Sus scrofa: one gene and its partner. Each later gene encodes a partner of the first gene's protein in a complex. Links are inferred from orthologs where the notes say so. Each region holds a gene or a part of one and is shown on either strand. Other genes may lie near its edges.

Region 1 (3,652 bases):
AAGAGCCTAAAAATTAAAGAATATAGGCTTTAAGTCAGGCTAATGTTCAGCATTCATTTAGTCCTCCTGTGACAAACGATCACTAACCTAAATACAAGTACAAATGACATGGGAGAGAAAATCGAAATCAGAGACAACTTTTAAAACCAACAGGCAGGATGTGGGATTCTAGTCTCAAGTTATAATGACTGTGACTGGCATGTAATATCTCAACATACTCCTCTGTGCCATATTTATCCACACAGAGTGAGCAAAACAAACTGCACTCAGGTCTCAGCAGCATGGTAAAAGTTAAAATGGCCTAGAATATATTCTGATGTCCTCAGACTAAAGGATAACAATGTATCTGAATTTAAAAATTAAAACAGGGGAGTTCCCACTGTGGCTCAGTGGTAATGAACCCAACTAGTATCCATAAGGACATGGGTTTGATCCCTGGCCTCGCACAGTAGGTTAAGGATCCGACATTGCTGTAAGCTGTGGTATAGGTTGCAGATGTGACTTAGATCTGGTGTTGCTGTGGCTCTGGCATAGGCTGGTAGCTGCAGCTCCGATTCGACCCCTTGCCTGGGAACTTCCATATGCCACACATGTGACCCTAAAAAGCAAAAAAAATAAAATTAAAACAGTGCCTTGGGACAAAAGAGTAAACAAATCTCACTGCACAGGCCTGAGTTGTAGACATCACAAATCACCCCCAAAGAGTTCCTGCAGTGGTGCAGTAGGTTAAGAATCCCACTGCAACAGCTCAGGTTGCTGTGGAGGCACGAGTTCAATCCCTGGCCTGACACAGTGGGTTAAAGGATTCAGTGTTGCCATGCCACAGCTGCAGAGTAGTTCACAGCTGTGGCTTGGATTCAATCCCTGGCCTGGGAACTTCCACATGTCTTGGGTGCAGCCATTAAAAAAACAAAAGCAAGGAGTTCCCGTCATGGCGCAGGGGTTAATGAATCCAACTAGGAACCATGAGGTTGCGGGTTCGATCCCTGGCCTTGCTCAGTGGGTTAAGGATCCTGCGTTGCCGTGAGCTGTGGTGTGGGTCACAGACGCAGCTCGGATCCCGCATTGTTGTGGCTCTGGCATAGGCCAGTGGCTACAGCTCCGATTTGACCCCTAGCCTGGGAACCTCCATATGCTGCGGGAGTGGCTCAAGAAATGGCAAAAAGACAAAAAAAAAAAAAAAAAAAAAAAAGAAAGAAAAGAAAACAAAAGCAAAAAACTACAAATCACCTCCCCCAAAAAGCAATCTGCAACAGGTGTCAACAGTCCTAAAAGCATAGGACCCTGACCCTCTGACCCAGTAAATCAATTTCTACTTAATTTCTAAGGAAACATATTTGGAAGTACTTTGATTTCCAGGAGATCAATCTAGAAGTATTATTAAGGAAATAATCCAGAACAGGGCAATAGTTTATGCATAAGGATGTTGATTATAGAATTATAGAAGAAAAGGTGCAGAAACAACCTCAAATATGCAGTATTAAGGAAATGGTAAATTTATGTAACAGAATACCAACAAAAATTATATTAATGAGATATTTTATGACATGAGGAAGATAATGTTAAGGGAAAAAAAAAAAACAGACAAGATTACACATGCAATATGTATTTACTGCCTAGACAGACCTCGACCACATAAAAAATGAATAGAAAAAAAACAAAAAAAACTAAAAGAACACAGATTACAACACTAGCAGTGACTGCCTCTGAATGACAGAATTTTGTATGACCTTTTTCTACTTCTTTATACATTTCTATACATTCTGCAATGAATATGCAGTATTCTTATATGGGGTGGGGAGAATAAACAAAAGAATATATAAAACCCTCCTCTCTGCTACTATAAATTTTTAACTCTCCTCAGCCCAACCTCTCATGATTTCCCTCCAGTTTTGTTCGGTTTTTTTTGTTTGTTTGTTTTGTCTCTTGGCCTTTTCTAGGGCCACTTCCGCAGCACATGGAGGTTCCCAGACTAGGGGTCTAATTGGAGCTATAGCCGCTGGCCTATACTACAGCCACAGCAACTCGGGATCCGAGCCATGTCTGTGGCCTACACCACAGCTCACGGCAATGCTGGATCGTTAACCCACTGAGCAAGGGCGGGGATCGAACCCGCAACCTCATGGTTCCTAGTTGGATTCGTTAACCACTGTGCCACGACAGGAACTCCTCCCTCCAGTTTTTAAAACTTCTCCAATGCTCCATTCTCATTTCTAAAGATCACAAATACCTAAAAAGGAACTAAAAGGCCCAAAAGAAAGTGCCTAGGGAGTTAAGTCCTTCCTATGGACAGTCAAATGCTCACCTTTAGAGTCATGTTGCTTATTTCCAGAATGGGATTTTGCTTGCTTTTTTCGTGGAGGAGAGAGGTCTGAATCACACTCCTGCTTGCTGTTCTTTGGGAGTGATGGATGAGATGGTCCTGGCCCCTTCCAATGGGGAGAAGCTTGGCTAGACGCTCTTTCTGGGGCTGTACTGCTTTTGGTTCTGGGCAGTGAATGAGGGACACTAGAAGCCAAGTCAGGGGAATCATGACGGGCCCTCCTCAGCTGCGATGTGTCCATGGAATCAAGAGTCCTTCTAGGTTGAACTGTGTCAGGGGAGCGATTACGGGCCCTTCTGGGAGGAGAGATATCTGAGGAACTGCGGTGGGCTCTCCTAGGAGGTGATGGATCTGGTGTATCATGACGGGCTCTCCTAGGAGGTGATGGATCTGGTGTATCATGACGGGCTCTCCTAGGAGGTGATGGATCTGGTGTGTCATGACGGGCTCTCCTAGGAGGTGATGGATCTGGTGTATCATGACGGGCTCTCCTAGGAGGTGACGGATCTGGTGTGTCATGACGGGCTCTCCTAGGAGGTGATGGATCTGGTGTGTCATGGTGGACCTTCCTAGGAGGTGATGGATCTGGGGAATCATGACGAGCCCTTCTAGGAGGCGATGAATCTGGAGTGTCATGGCGGACCTTCCCCGGAGGTGATGAATCTGGGGTGTCATGACGAGCCCTCCTAGGAGGTGATGCATCTGGGGTGTCACGACGGAAATGTCTGTGTGAGGGCAGATCTTCATTGTGGCCTAAACACAAAGAGCAAAGAGTCAGAATCCCACAGATGCTCTGTTCACCCCCAGGAACCATAGTTTCAAAAGATGCCCCAGGAGGATACATCTGAAAACTACTCAGAAAGCCCAAAAGGTCTGTACAACTCTTACTTGGGGCAGTAAGACAGCACTCATGAATATCCTAAGAATAATCTCTCATATTTGCCTAACAAGTCATCAGTCTGTAAAGCATTTTAAATATTTTTCATGTTATATTTTGTTAGGTAAGCAAGGCAATTATCCTTGCTTAACAGACCTGAAAACAGAGACTCTAAGGGGCTAAGTGATTTCTTACCTGGGGTCACAGCTACGAAGAGAAAAGATAGGCTTGAACTCCAGTCCTCTAACTCTTAATCCAATGCTCTTCCACAAAACTGATTTGTACAGAGCTCCCCACTAGAGGCTCTTATTGATATTTAGCCTAGATAATTCATAGTGTGTACCCACTCTTCTTTCAAGAGGCAAATTGACTAAATCTGTGACACATCAAAGTGAAATGCTGTTACCTACTGAATCCATGCCATTGTGCTCCTTATTAGAAGCGGGAGAACA
Region 2 (3,752 bases), on another chromosome or scaffold:
TGCATGCAAAGCAATGAAACTAGAACACACCCTCACACCATGCACAAAAATAAACTCCAAATGGCTGAAAGACTTAAATGTAAGACAGGACACCATCAAACTCCTAGAAGAAAACATAGGCAAAACACTCTCTGACATCAACATCATGAATATTTTCTCAGGTCAGTCTCCCAAAGCAATAGAAATAAGAGCAAAAATTTACCAATGGGAACTAATCAAACTGAAAAGCTTTTGCACAGCAAAGGAAACCCAAAAGAAAACAAAAAGACAACTTTCAGAATGGGAGAAAATAGTTTCAAATGATGCAACCGACAAGGGCTTAATCTCTAGAATATATAAACAACTTATACAACCCAACAGCAAAAAAGCCAATCAAGCAATGGAAAAATGGGCAAAAGACCTGAATAGACATTTCTCCAAAGATATCCAGATGGCCAACAAACACATGAAAAAATGCTCAACATCGCTGATTATAAGAGAAATGCAAATCAAAACTACCATGAGATATCACCTCACACCAGTCAGAATGGCCATCATTAATAAATCCACAAAGAACAAGTGCTGGAGGGGCTGTGGAGAAAAGGGAACCCTCCTGCACTGTTGGTGGGAATGTAAACTGGTACAGCCACTATGGAGAACAGTTTGGAGATACCTTAGAAATCTATACACAGACCTTCCATATGACCCCGCAATCCCACTCTTGGGCATCTATCCGGACAAAACTCTACTTAAAAGAGACACGTGCACCCACATGTTCATTGCAGCACTATTCACAATAGCCAGGACATGGAAACAACCCAAATGTCCATCGACAGATGATTGGATTTGGAAGATGTGGAATACTATGGAATACAATGGAATACTACTCAGCCATAAAAAAGAACGACATAACGCCATTTGCAGCAACATGGATGGAACTAGAGAATCTCATACTGAGTGAAATGAGCCAGAAAGACAAAGACAAATACCATATGATATCACTCATAACTGGAATCTAATATCCAGCACAAATGAACATCTCCTCAGAAAAGAAAACCATGGACTTGGAGAAGAGACTTGTGACTGCCTGATGGGAGGGGGAGGGAGTGGGAGGGATCGGGAGCTTGGGCTGATCAGACACAACTTAGAATAGATTTACAAGGAGATCCTGCTGAATAGCATTGAGAACTTTGTCTAGATACTCATGTTGCAAAAGAAGAAAGGGTGGGGGAAAAATGTAATTGTAATGTATACATGTAAGGATAACCTGATCCCCTTGCTGTACAGTGGGAAAAAAAAAATATTAACCCCACCTCACAATTGTTAAGGATTTCATAGGAAATAAATTCCCCTACGAATGTTTCCTTCTTCATCTGTAAAATGGGGATATTGGCACTTACCTCACAGAATTGTAATAAGAATGAAAATAAAACAATGGCTATAAAGTGCCTAGCACAATGTCTGTTGTAATAATCTCTTCGAATAAACTGTCAAATTACAGAATGTGACACAGTGAATATGGAAATGATGATGTGGCCATGGACGGGGAAATAAATTCTGCGTGAAGGGTAATGAAGGGAGAGGGAGTTGGCAGTAATACCGGATAGTGGCTGATACCAGGAGTTCTCAAACCCCACAGTTCTTGCTGTTCCACTTGCTAGCTATGCGACCTGAAGGAAGTCCATTAACTTTTCTGCATCTCAGTTTCCTTAGGTGTATAACTAGAGGACAAGAGGATGATAATAACAGTCTCTGAGAAACCAAACGGCACGATTCTTAGCACACTGAATGGCAGGCAGTACCTATCATGAACGCTGATTTGGCAGCGAGAGCAAACTAGAAATGAGCTAGAAAAGCGACCTGGAAAACGGATTTATAGGCCGACAGTGGAAGTAAATAAAAGTGGGTGATGAATGTCGGGAGGAATGATGGGCGGGAATGCTGAAATGTTAGGAGGCAGGCCAGGAGAGAATGAGAAGCCCTGCGGGAGAAAGATGTGGGCCTCACCTAGGAAGATCCAGGCGCTGTCCTTGTACTCGGAGTGCCAAGACACCTTCTCCGCCACCCCCAGCTGGACCTCACGCTCATTCAGCTCGTTGATCAGCTTCACTTTAGTTAAAGGGCTGCACAAGGGGCGGAAAAGCGGACAAGTAAGCGCGGCCTAGCCTGAGGTAAAGGAGAGCAAAACTGGGAGACTAATTTTCTAGTATCTGCGCCTCCCCCGCTCCTCAGCCTCACAAGTGCTCTACCACTCCAGCTTCAGTGAACTACCCCCGGCCGCCTGTCCCCTTTTCCCAAAAGGAACCTGAGGCCTTACTTCATCTCCGCGGGTTCGCCCTCAGCACCTAGGAAGCGACTTCCGGGAGAGGCTGCAAGACGCATGCGCGACCCGGCGCTGCGCGCCCATTGGTCTCAGCTGCGCGCTTACGCCGCGCCGGAAGAGCCGGGCCGCGCTGGGGCGTGGCGCCTGCGCACTACGTCAGTAAGCGGCTTCTCTTGTTCCGCCGATGTCGCTCTTTTTCTGTAGACCCTCGCTTCCACCGTGCTTGGAGTTGGACGAGGGTGCGAGCCTGGTTTGTTACAGGACTCCGAACTCCTAAACGATGCCTGGCATTTATTGGGTTAACTATAAATGTTTTTTGAAGGAAGACTTTGAGAGGTGCCTGATAACGGCGACTTGAGTCCCATCCTTCTCTTCCAGTGCAAATCCTCATTCTGTCCTTAACTCCCAGCCAATTACTCACACGCACACCGCCATGAAAGCATCCCTGTTCAGGAGTTACAGCAGAAATGTGAAAAAGCTGTGTGAGAGGGTAAATCTTTTTGTCTCAAATCGCACCGCATAGGCAACTGACCACTGTGCCTCCATAGGCTGAATTGAATACCCAGATTTGTGTGAATGCTGCTAACCGTTTTCCATAGTCTGTCTGCTACTCAAGCAGGAGGTAGGAATTGGTATTGTTAAATTAATAACTAACAGTTGAGCAGGTAATGATAGATTGTGTGCTAAGCAATTTACATGTATTGGCCCTCCTGTGAAGGCTTAGATACAATTATCCTCCCCGTTTCGTAGCAGAAACTGAGTTTAAAGGAGTTAAATAACTTGGATGGTACTCTGTCTCTATCCATCAGATCCACTTGATTTATCGGTCCTTACTGAGCATCTGTATTTGTCCTATACAGTAAGTCTGCAGATGGGAATGTAAGGTTGGGTTCTCTGCCTTCAAAGAGCTAATAATATCATTGAGGAGACAGGGCTTGATAGATTTGACTCCAGAAATAATCAGGAACCTGTAGAAGAGATGATGGCATGTAATGTGTGAATTAAGCCATTCTGAAGATTCAAATCCATCTTGCATGTGTCCACATCAATTCTGGCCTTAGACCATGCAAATTATGTCAAAGTCAAATTATGGGGCTGTATAGTTCTCTGTGTAGGCCTAGCTCACAGCCCCAGAAATTAAAAGCACTTTGATGATGGTGACAGTGACAACTGTACCCTCAATGGTTCACCATGTACCCAATGTCTTCCCAAGAAGCAGAACAGGCTGCCCACCAATGACAGTTTTTGTGTCTGTCCCCCTCCCCCACTTCCAACCCAGCTATTCATTAACTTTGTAGAATTACCTTGGCAATGAAAACTAAACAGTGACAGATTGCATACAGGTTTTATCTGCTCCTAGAAACCTTAGGTTGCTTAGTTGTAGGGTTGAAGTAGTCACTGCAAAGTGGTAAACTAGCATGCAGCATTATCTGGATGGATTCTTCAGGCT

The links. Proteins that work in one complex are often made in the same cells at the same time.
Region 2: BUD13 (region 1) and RBMX2 share a complex: the UniProt entries of both Homo sapiens proteins name them as parts of the activated spliceosome. The link is inferred for Sus scrofa from reciprocal best matches to the Homo sapiens genes BUD13 and RBMX2.

What each region holds. Positions count from the first base shown.
Region 1 is NC_010451.4:44,148,366-44,152,017, forward strand, and holds part of BUD13 (BUD13 homolog), read right to left. Parts: intron 3,077-3,652; coding exon 2,306-3,076; intron 7-2,305; coding exon 1-6. UniProt on the Homo sapiens protein: Involved in pre-mRNA splicing as component of the activated spliceosome. As a component of the minor spliceosome, involved in the splicing of U12-type introns in pre-mRNAs.
Region 2 is NC_010461.5:106,879,496-106,883,247, reverse strand, and holds the start of RBMX2 (RNA binding motif protein, X-linked 2), read right to left. Parts: upstream 2,337-3,752; 5' UTR 2,302-2,336; coding exon 2,297-2,301; intron 2,103-2,296; coding exon 1,987-2,102; intron 1-1,986. UniProt on the Homo sapiens protein: Involved in pre-mRNA splicing as component of the activated spliceosome. As a component of the minor spliceosome, involved in the splicing of U12-type introns in pre-mRNAs.